Sus scrofa: one gene and its partners. The protein of the gene in region 2 interacts with the protein of the main gene of each other region in a pairwise test. Links are inferred from orthologs where the notes say so. Each region holds a gene or a part of one and is shown on either strand. Other genes may lie near its edges. The genes, in order: BATF3, BACH2 and MAFG.

Region 1 (3,644 bases), on a different chromosome or scaffold from region 2:
CAGCAGACCTGAGTTCCACTTCCCATTCACCCCTCTACGAGCTGTGATACCTGGAGCAAGTTCCTCAACCTCTCTGAGTTTCTTATTCCTCATCTTTTAAATGGTGGGCCCACCACACACTTCTCGGGGTGGCGGTGGAGGTTAACAGCCAACACAGCCCGAGCGCGTGGTGAGTGCTTTCAACCAGGGCCGCTCTTATCCCAGGGATGCAGCAGCCAGCCCTGCTGTGGCTGCCCATCAAAGGGTGACCCCCTGTGAGCAAGGCTGGGCGCACATCAAGGGCAGAGATCTGACCAAACCTTTCTCCCCAGAGCCCCGAGGATGATGACAGGAAGGTCCGAAGGAGAGAAAAAAACCGAGTTGCTGCTCAGAGAAGTCGGAAGAAGCAAACCCAGAAGGCTGACAAACTCCACGAGGTGAGAATGTGGTTGGGGCAGAGCCACGTTAGGGCCACGACGACGACGGGGAGTCATCTTCTGCCCTTGCGAGGTGGTGGCCCTGAGGTCACGCTTCGATCCTCTCCAGGTCAGCCACGTGCACTTCAGATTCCGCTGTGTCCCTCCAGCGCAGCGTTGGGATTCGCTCTCTGGTGTCTCCATCTCTCCCCCACCAGCTCGTTGTGTCTCACACTCAAGTTTCCCTTTATCGTAAACCCAGAAACCTCCTTTTGATCCTGATTCCCTTTCAAGCTGGTGCCTCATTTCTTCTCTTTCCTTCCCTCATGGTCCTGCTTCTTGAAAAGAGACCTGCTGTCTTCATGTCCTCTGCTCTCCTGAAACACACACACACATGCACACGTACACACACACACACACACACACACACACACACACACACACACACACACGCTTCCTGCAGAAGCTGCTCCACTGAGGCCACTAGTGCCCTGGGACTGCCTGGTCTCGGGGCCTCTTTCGAGTCTCCTCATCCTTGAACTTGCTGGGACCCCTCATTGACCCTCATCTTAAAATTTTCTTTCAGAGTCTTTAACTTCTAAGAGACCACATTTCCTACCTTCCCAACCCTCTTAACCACTCTCTCAGTTTCTTTATCGGCTTTTCTACCTCTGTGTTCTTAAATGTTGGCGATGGCCAGACTTTCAGACTCTGCCTTTTTCCCCACCATCCTGGAAGATGCAACCTATGGTCTGCCAGCATTAGCTCCTCGCGTGCTCGCTCTCAAGCCGGTGTTGATAATTCCAACAAGACCCTGTCCTGGCCCTGACCCCACAGCTCCAGTGTCTGCCAGGTGCCTTCAAATGGGTTCACTGCGGGCTCCTCGGCCCCAGTGTGGCCATAAGCGTGTGTCTGTGCACTGGGAGGCTTTCTCTTCTCACTGTCTTCAAATTGCAGTTGATGGGGCTCACTCACCGTCTAGCGCATCACCCACATCAGGAGAGGGGACTTCTCCTAAACGCTTCCATGTTGGTCAGCCCCATGCATAATCTCACAGCCAGGACATGGGAACTGTTCCATCTCAGGCGCTGACATCAGAGGCATCCAGGATGCAGGATCTGCCCCAGGGATTCACGGCACTTCCGTGCTCTTGTCTTTGCACAGGGTAGGAGTGAGTAATTAAGGGTTGTAGTTCAGCTCTCTCCTGCCACGCTTTCGCTGGGGATTGTCCAGCAAGGCCAGTGTGCGGTCATTGACAGCGTAAGAGACTCTGAGGCGTTGTGCGGGGGAATGCCAGTTTCTGAAAACCCCTTCATGATACGCAGAGAACAGATTTAGAAAGCACATGCTCCAGGGAGAGGTGACCTGCTGATAGAAATACATGGGGCGGTGGGGGGTAAAGGGGTGGTGGCAGATCTTTCCAGAAAGTCTGGACCCTAGAAAGTGTCTTCAGGCCAGGGTCAGAGAAGGTCTGTCCCAGCCTGGATTAGGTCTGTAAAATTTCCACAGAGGACTTGGGATGCCCTTTGCCTCTTCTCTCCCCTCCCCCTTACTCCTGAAGCAATCCTGGTTCTAGCTTCGTGTTACCACTAATCCCCAGAGGGGACTTGAGGCTCAGTCTGTGCAAGGCCCTGTGTTCAGAGCACCCGTGCCTTCCTCTAAAGGTATTTCCAGTCCAAGTCAGGTGCATTCAGGTCAAAACACACTAGAGGACCCTCAGCTGTAAGTCCTGCGGGATCGTGTGTGTAGAGGTGACTAAATGACTTGGATGAGGTTTTTTGTGGACTCAGGTTGAGTAGATTCATTCAACAAATATTTACTAAGAACCACTACAGGCAAGGCATTGCCACTGAGTCGTGAAGGGAAGGGTAAGGTCTCATCCTTGTCCTTGGGAAGCAGAGGCGTTCCCAAGGGCAGTGTGTTCATTTCCTACAGCTGACAGATTTGATGGCTTGAAACAACACAGATTTATTATCTTATAGTTTTGGATGTCAGGCATATGAAATGGGTCTCACGGGGCAAAAACCAGGCTGTCAGCAGGGCTGCATTCCTTCTGGAGGCTCTGTTTCTTGCCTTTTCTAGCTTTCAGAGGCTTGCATGGTCTTTGGCTTGTGGTTACCTTCCATTTTCCTTTTTTTAAAGAAAATTTAAATTTTTTCATTTTTAAATTTTGTATTAAAGTATGGTTGATTTACAGTGTTGTGCCAGTTCCTGCTGTACAGCATAATGACCTAGTCATATAAATATGTGTGTGTGTGTATATTTACATGTATATACACTCGCGTTCTTTTTCTCATACTATCTTCCGTCATGTTCTATCCCAAGAGACAGATATAGTGCCCTGTGCTGTACAGTAGGATCTCATTGCTTCTCCATTCTAAATGTAATAGTTGGCATCTACCAACTCCAAAGTGCCCATCCATCCCACTCTCTCCCCCTCCCCCTTGGCAACCACAGGTCTGTTCTCTATGTCTGTGAGTCTGTTTCTGTTCTGTAGACAGGTTCATCTGTGCCACAGTTTAGGTTCCACATGTAGGGGATATCATATGGTTTTTGTCTTTCTCTTTCTGAATTATTTCGCTTAGTTTGAGACTCTGGTTGCCTCCATGTTGCCAGATGTCTGTTGACAGATGAGTGGGTTAAGAGGATGTGGTACACAAATACCCAGTGGAATCCTGCCCTTCCATTTTCAAAGCGGGCACCGGCCAGCCGAGTCTTTCTCATGCTGCATTACTCTGACAGTTTCTGTGGCCACGTCTCCTCTGATTCCCGACTCTTTCCCTTATGAAGACCCTCGGATTACCTTGGGTCCATCTGCCTGGTCCAGGTGTACCCCCCTATTTTAAGACCCTTAACGTAAAATCACATCTGCAAAGTCCCCTTTGCCGCGTAAGGTAACATATTCGCAGGTTCCGAAGTGTGAACATCTTTGAGAGGCATTGTCCTGCCTACCTTCAACAAATGCTTGCATACAGGGTCAGAAAAAAGGTGGGTCTCCATTTCTGTCCTTCTTGGATTTGATAGCCAGATGAACCAGATACCTGGGAAATTTAGGGCCGGTTTGCCACATTTGCTTCTGCCTCGTCTCTCTGAGAACAGTGGGTGGAGGGCCTTTCAGAGGGTCCCTAGCTTATTCTGCCATCCAGAAACATAACTGCGTTAGTTGCTCCTTCCAGGAAGGGGGCTGATTGATCTGCAGCCCAGGCCTTGCAGGGAGGAACGTCCACGTCTGCTCTTTCTCTGTGGAGC
Region 2 (3,744 bases):
TATGGAATACTGCCGGTACACAAGGGGGCCAAGTTATAGGTGCTCAGGGAAACGTGGCAGAATTTCTTGGCCTTGGCAGGAGTAAAGTTGCAGGCACCAGCACTGCGCTAACACAACCTTCTTTTATTGCAAATGTTCCTTCAGTCTAAGTCCTAATTACTTTCTGTAAAACCCTAACCACCATCGAGCTTTCTTCTGACAGGGCAGCCACACGATGGCCTTAAAGTGCAGCGGCAGCGCCGGGCAGCCTCTGGAATGGGAGACAGGGGGTGGTTGGAACCCTGTAGGGGCTGAGGCTGCAGCTCAGACGTAGGCTTTTCAGTGAGCTTCGCAACTGCTTGCAACCCCTTTTAAAATCCCAGCGTGGGGACTTAGAGGCTCCCTCGGTGGGGCAGGCTGAAGCCCTTCTGGAAAGGATTCCAACGTCAACATCAACGTTGGGTCAGAAGCTACTCTTGCTCGCCCCACCCCCTCCCAAGAGGGGTACCGGTCAGCTTGGTGGAGCCCGTGGAGCATCTTTTTCTGCCCCTCCTGGGAAACGCTAGACAACCCCGGAATCCCAGGTCTCAAGGTCTGGCTCCGCTTCCTGGGCGTAGTGCCCTGGGCTCTGCCCACCTCCCCACGTGCCACACCAGCTCTCCCCACTGCCCCCACCCCAGCGGCCCCCAGCCCTGGCCTTTCAAGGTTCGGGTGAGTCCCGGGCAAGGCCCGACCGAGACAGGCGGCCAGCCGGGCCCGGAGCAGGGGGCTCTCTCGGTGGTTCTGCCGCACAAAGCGGGGAGAGCTGCGCCGGCGGCGTGAGGCGCGCCCCCTCCCGCGAGCAGGCCGAGCGCGCTCCCGCCCCCTGTCCCCCGCCCCAGCCCTGGGAGCGCCATTCGCGGAGTGGCTTACGCTAGTCGCCGGGCGTACGGCGCCCCAGCGGCCGGGGAGGTGCGCTGCCCGGCTCCCGTAAAGTTATTGTGAATGGGGAGCGGGTGACGTCAGCGCCGAATGTCAACAATGTAGCGATTGAGAGTGTGGGCGTTCCGGGGAGAGCGCGAGCCGCGCCGCGCGGAGCAAACAGCGCCGAGCAGCCGCCGCCTAAGCAGCAGCAGCAGCAGCGGCCGTGCACGCCCGGGCTGCGGTCGCAGCAGCGCTAACGCGAGCGCCCGCCGCCGCCCTCGCCCACCCCGCCTGCCCACTCCCGCTGCCGCCGGGCTCTCGCTTTCTCCCCGGCCTCCCTCGACCCTTCCCCTCCCCCTTCTCGGCATACTCGGGGGGCTGGGAACGAGCTGCCATGTGATGCGCGTCCTCTCCGCGAGCTTTCGGTGACCCCCGATCCGCGGACCGCCGGGAGGGGGCTGCGGGCTAGGAGGACGCGGGGAAGAGGAGGCGGAAAAGGACGCAAAGTTCTCTGTTGAGGTGAGTCCCCGGCCGCGGGTCCCGGGCCCCGGCGGCGGCGGGCGGGCGGGGCGGTGGGGCAAGTTGGCGGGGGGAGCGGGCGCGCGGGGCAGGCGGGGAGACATGGGGAAGCGGCGCGGGAAGGGAACCGCGGCCGCCCGGAGCGCAGCCGCCCGCCGAGCGCCCTGCCCGCTTTTATGGCATTTTCTAGGAACGGGAAGGGGGTGGGAGCCGAGCCGGTGGACGCGCAGAGGCGACTGTGCGCTCTCTCGCCTGGCTGTTTACGGCGGGAGAGGAGGCATTGTATTTTGCTCGCGTCGACGGGTATTTTGGAACAGCAGGGGGAGGAGGAGCAGAGGGTAATAAGTCAGGCGTGGGGAGGGCGGGTTGAAGGGAGGCGCGCGTCCGCGCGAGCCGGAGCAGCTGTCAGACCCACGGCCCTGCTCCCGGCCCCGCGAGGCCCGGGCGCCCCGGCCCCCAGCCCGCGATCGCCGTGCCAGGCCGGGCGGCCTCCTCCCTGTCCGCGGCGTCCGCGCCCCGGGCTGCTCCGCTACGCTTTGCGCTCAGCTGTCAGACGTTGCCGGGTAGCTAGGACCACCACGACTAGCCGGGTATCAAAGCCCAAGTTTAAGGTCCCGGGAAGAGGCAGACTGGGGGCTCTTGGCACAGACCTTGGGTTGCTCGCTGGGTGGAATCCCTACTAGCCAACGACCACGGGTTATTGGAATGCGTCCCAGGGAACTCAGGCCGAGGGGCTCATGCCTTCAGAGAGGGAGATCTTGCACCTCTCTCCTTCCAAGATTCTGCACGAAATCAAAGTGCAACGCACACCCTCTTCTCCCTGCCCACACTTCAGTCTTCAGACCCCAGAAGCTCCACCTAGGAGAGGAGTTTATCCAGGGGACACTTCTCCACGTACCCCCACCCCGCCGGCGTGTCCTCCGGGGGTTCGCAGTTCTCCTTCTCATACCCGGTGGGTCATGGGATGCGGGCGGCGCTCCTGGACTACCCCAGCTGCCCGCGAGAGGGGACTCGAGTGAGCATCTCGGCGACCTCGGTCTGGGCGAGGATTTGCAGGAACTTGACCGTGGGAGGAAGCGCGCAGGGCCGGGTGTCTGTGTGTGAAAGGGGCCGCGCACCCCTGATTTCGGGGGTCGTGGGTGCGCTGGGTATCCCCAGCCCACTCTCACGTGTAGGCGAGTTTGATAACTTGCGGGAAGTTCTGGCGCAGCCGCTGTAGGATGGTTTTGTCTGTGGCCGGAGAAGGAGCGCCTCACAGTATGCCTGTCCGGTCACCGCCGTCGCCGCCACCCATGGCCCCTGGGAAACAAGAGGGACCAGGGCGCCCCACCCCCAACTGAGCTGCACACTCAGCGGGTAGCGAGACGCGGCGTTCCTGGGTTTTCACCTTCGCTGTCTAGTGCTGTAGTCTCTCACTCTCTGTGTAAATTTCATCTGTTGAATGTACTTAACTAAAAAGGGTAATTACTTTAGATTAAAAAAAAAAATCCCTTCCTGCCTAGTGGGAACCTTGGCGGAGATGCTGCCTAATGAGATATTTTGCTTTTGTCTGTTTAGAGTAAAATTAGAGATGTTAACTCTGATAACGGTTTTCTCAGATCATTAAAATGTAACATGTAGGAAAGGCATGTCGAGCTGCGAAGGCTCTGGCTGACATGAAAGAAGCTGTGCGGGGAAAGGCTCCTTGGGTAGAGAGGCTATTTTGGTAAGGCAGCGGCATCTTGCCTAAAATGTGACATTGCCCCACCCTGGTGCTCCCGCAGCTCACAGCTCCAGAGTAAACGGCGTTTTTCATTCTTCCAGGTAATAATAAACGTGAGTCAAAGTGACATCTTGTTAGAATTAAGTCTTTAGTCTGTAGGCGAGATTGCTAAATAACAGTGTTGCATTCACACTGCTCCCGTGAAAGGTCTGTCAGCATTTCCATTATAAATTCAATTTGGGGGGGAGTTGATAATTTCACCACAAAACTTTGGGTGGCTGAAATGGCTTTCCCTTCCAGTGTTCTGCTTTAAGCAATGAATCGACTGCCCACTTCCATCCTATTTGCTGTTCCTAAAACTTGAATATTATCCAGATGGGGGGGGGGGCAGAAATAGAAAACATAATCATGGAATAAAATACTTCTGTTCGAACGTACTTTATTTGTGCCAAGTAATACTTTCATTGTGGATTTTGGAAGGCTTTATGTTTGCCATTTGGTAATCATAAATGTGTTAATTCTTCTGGTACCTGTCAGTTCTGCAGGTGGATTGAAATGTCAGTTCATGTTGTATATGCCAGGATTACATGGAAGAACATTCTCCTCATACATGTGTGTGTGAGAGCTCATAGCTAAATTAC
Region 3 (3,744 bases), on a different chromosome or scaffold from region 2:
AATCACCCAGAAAAGTGCCGAGCGTGGCGGCTGGGAGCCGAAAAGTGCCTCCTCGACAGATTTCCCGGCGCAGAAGCCCTGAACTCAGCACAAGTGCAGCCAATCGCCTCCTAATCAAAGGTGTGCGCGCTCGGCTGGGGGAGGGGGTCTCGGCGAGGCCTGCCTTCCGGCCTCCTGGCCTGGTCTCCGCTACCTGGGGCCTCACAGTTCCAGGACGAGACACCCTGTGGGCCTGGGTTGGGACCGAGGTCTCAGGGCACCTCTAGAAGCCGGAGGAAGGGGATCCCCGAGGCCGTTTCAAGGAGACGCTGCCTCCCTGCAGCCCTCCTCCTGCCTCTGCTCCCCCAGAGGCTGAGCCCACTTCGGGGAGGAGGCAGGGGTGGTCCCCAGAGTGCATACCCACCAAGGTACCCAGGCCTAGCCACTCAAGCTGAGAGCCGGCCAGGAAGGAGAGAGGGCCCCCTCCCCCTCCCCTGGGCTCAAACTCCAGGGCATGGACACTGGGCAGGAGGCCAGCTCGCTCCTGCTTCTCCTGTCCTACAAACCGCAGTGGCCAAACCTCCCCGGCAGGCGTGGCCCCGGTCATCCTGGCACCCCCCCCAGCCCGCTACACTCACCCTGCCCTTCGGACCCATTTCCCCAGAAGCCCTCTGAAAAGTGTCTCAAACTTCATTCCCACCAAACGCAAGTAGCTGAGAAGATTTAAAGAAATACCACTCTAGGAATCTGCATTTTCATAAAACTCCAGCCAAAAGATCAGCTGGTGGGAGTTCCCTGGTGGTCTGGTGCTTAGCACTCGGCACTTTTACTGCTGCGGCCTGGGTTCCATCCCTTTTCTGGGAATTGAGATCCCACTTCAAGCCACTGCATGCTGTGGCCAGGAAAAAAAAAAAAAAAAAAAAGATCAGCTGGCATCTGTATGCCCAGGGCTGGGGTGAAGGGGAGCGGAAGTAATGCCTGAGGACAAAGCACAAGGTCAGCCTTACCTAGCCTTGAACCCCTGGGCAAAAGGATCAGCTCTGGTCTAGAGGAAAGACCCCCACTCCCACCCCCGCCCCTGGAGACCAGGAACCACCCATTCACTTAGGAAGGTGGCTCAGGCCACACGACCCTCAGGCTGGAGTTCCCTCCCCAGGAGTCCCCACCACCACCCCATCAGGACCACCTTCTTTGTTAAGCTGCACAACCCTGAGCCCAACCAGAACAATCCGGGGTGACTGAGATTCTTCAGCCCATGCCGTCCACCCCAGTCCAGTGCCCTGAAGGTGGGTGCCCTCCAAGCTACCGCCACCCACAGCCTCGAGCCAGACCCCACGGCGGGCTGTGAAGAGAGGCAGGGCCTGCTCACCAGACACCAACTCCCCTGAAGTCTAAGTCCTGCTGCTTCCTCTCATTGGCAATTTCCTGGTAGAGCTGCACCTACATGCCCCCTGCCCTGTCCACTGTTACCCAGAAACCGGGTACAGGCACCCCTCTTTCTCCCACTGTCTCCCCATCTTCCCCGCCCAGAGGCTGCCCAGCCTGGCCAACCAGACCAGTCATAAGGAAAGCCGGCTTCCCAGCCCGCAAGCACAGCCCCCCTAAGCTCCTCCCTCTTCTCACTCAGAGAACTATTTCCCAGTTTGGGGAACTGTCCCAGACGCGGGTCAGGGACCAGCAGCCTGAGAAAAGCCTGCCGGGGAGGGGATGGACGGACCAGGGTCTTCACCCTCTACCCCAGAATAATAAGAATAGCGGTCCCTCCATTTACTCACCCCCCAAACCTTCAACACGCACATCAGCCCGAACTTAAGCAGGCACCCCAGCCTGGGGCCTAGCCCCTTCCCACTCCCTGGTTTAGCTCTCACCTCTCGCTTCCAGCCTCTCGAGCCCCTCGCTCAAATCCCCCCAGGCATCAGGACAAGCATCGAGTGACCTCATGCTGATGACTCAGCAAGTCTCCCTCTGGGCTCTGGCACGAGTGTGACAGAGCGAAGTCGGCGCGGGGAGGGTCTTCCTAGCCACCCCCCACGTGCCGCCCCCTTCCCCCCGGCCTCCAAGGACCCCCGCGTCCGAGAGGCGTTAACACAGACACCTGATGAATCAGCAGCTCAGGCTGGGACGGCCAGGCTCTTCCGCGGAGCCCTGGGCTCCCCGATCGACCCCACCCTTTCCTCCCGCCACCCCGGCCGCCCCTCCCTCCAGGACGCCCCGGCCCAGCAAGCCAGCCCGCGCAAGCCCCGCCCCGCCCCTGTGGGCACCCCCGCGCCCACCCGAGCACCCCAGGCGCAAGGGCAGGAAGCCGCTTCTGACTAGTGGGGAAATCGAGGCACGGGCCGCCAGCAGGGCGCGGGGCAGAGCCGAAGCTCGGAGCGTCCGGCCCGCGCCGCCCCGGACGCCCGAAGGAGCCGAGGCCCCGCGGAAGCCCGCCCTCGGCCCGGAGCCCCCAGCTGCCCCGCGCCCTGCCCCGGCCCGGCCGCCGCCGCACTCACCCACCACACTGCGGGCCCGGCGGGCCGAGGCTGGGGCGGGGCGGGGCGGGCACTCCGAGGCCGCGCGGGAGTGGGCCGCGCGGGGGCTCCGGGCCCGGGGTAGGGGCTCGCCGCCTGCGCGGGCCGGTCCGAGCGCGCTTGGAAGGCCGGGCCGGACCAGGCTCGGGGCTCGGGATCCGCCGCCGCCGCCGCCGCCGCCGGCCGCCGCCGCCGCCGCCGCCGCCCGCCGCCGCTCCTCAGACGTCACATGATGTTTGGTCACGTGGGCTCCATTCATGAAGCGGCGACGCGACCGGCTGGGGCTTAAAGGGGAAGGCGCGGCGGCGGCGACGGCGGCGGCGGGCGGCAGAGCGCGCCGGCACTGCGCCTGCGCGCCGGGCGCCGTCGCCCTGGCAACGCGCGCCGCGCCCGATGGGTGAGGTCTCGCGGGACTGGCCCGGGCGCGCGCTCCCTGTCCGGCCACGCCCCCTTTGAGGCGGGGCCTCGTGGTCCTCTGAAGCTCTCCTGAGGCTTGTGCGCAGACGTTGCAAAGGCCACGTGTCCGGTTTTCTGTTGCGGATCCGAGGTCCGTACGCATTATGGAGAAGGTCCTCATGGTGTTTCTGTTACTCCCCGGCAGGCTCTGCATGCCTTGCCTCCGTAATTGCGGAGCGGGCCTCAGCCTTGCCAGGAACAGCTGTCTGGTTCACAGGAGACCCACAGGCTCAGGGAGGCGAAGGGTTTGTCCGAAGCTCAAGGCCGCCTCCAAGGCTTCTGAGTAGTGTGGTCTGTCTTCACCCAGCATCCCGAGACCTCACATGAGGGACCGGGCTCAGGCGGCTCCTAGAACCCGTCTGGCTCAGAGTGGGTGCGGTGAATGTGGGCATCAGTAAGCATCTGTTGAATTCATAGTTGATGTAGGGGGTGCGCCTTTCCTTTCTGTTTCACCAGCGTCTGCCCCGAGCTTAGGTCCCCGTCCATGGACCCATGGACCCTTACAGAAAGTTTCTACACTTTCTGTAAGGACTTCTCACTTCTGTTCAAAATCCCCAGAGAAAGAGGTCTGGAAAGGAAGAAGGGAAACTGAAGGGACCCAATTCTACTTCCAGATTCTGGACGTCTCTTCTCAGGTGTGAGGTCAGGAAGGGTCGCGCCCCCCCCCACCAGACAGGTCAGTGAGATCAGATGAGCTGAAAGAGGGAGGAGCCAGGGACGAGGGCAGGATCCTTATGGGAATTCAGTGCCACTGAAGGAACGACAAAGGCCACCCAGGTGGCCCCTAGAGCCTTGGAGC

Evidence for each region.
Region 1: the proteins of BACH2 (region 2) and BATF3 interact in binary tests that used the Homo sapiens proteins (3 or more experiments, as listed by UniProt). The link is inferred for Sus scrofa from reciprocal best matches to the Homo sapiens genes BACH2 and BATF3.
Region 3: the proteins of BACH2 (region 2) and MAFG interact in binary tests that used the Homo sapiens proteins (3 or more experiments, as listed by UniProt). The link is inferred for Sus scrofa from reciprocal best matches to the Homo sapiens genes BACH2 and MAFG.

Annotation. Positions count from the first base shown.
Region 1 is NC_010451.4:130,702,014-130,705,657, forward strand, and holds part of BATF3 (basic leucine zipper transcriptional factor ATF-like 3), read left to right. Parts: intron 1-311; coding exon 312-416; intron 417-3,644. UniProt on the Homo sapiens protein: AP-1 family transcription factor that controls the differentiation of CD8(+) thymic conventional dendritic cells in the immune system.
Region 2 is NC_010443.5:58,278,875-58,282,618, reverse strand, and holds the start of BACH2 (transcription regulator protein BACH2), read left to right. Parts: upstream 1-1,266; 5' UTR 1,267-1,401; intron 1,402-3,744. UniProt on the Homo sapiens protein: Transcriptional regulator that acts as a repressor or activator. Binds to Maf recognition elements (MARE). Plays an important role in coordinating transcription activation and repression by MAFK.
Region 3 is NC_010454.4:1,067,876-1,071,619, reverse strand, and holds the start of MAFG (transcription factor MafG), read right to left. Parts: upstream 2,547-3,744; 5' UTR 2,472-2,546; intron 2,128-2,471; exon of another isoform or gene 2,075-2,127; intron 2,025-2,074; exon of another isoform or gene 1-2,024. UniProt on the Homo sapiens protein: Since they lack a putative transactivation domain, the small Mafs behave as transcriptional repressors when they dimerize among themselves.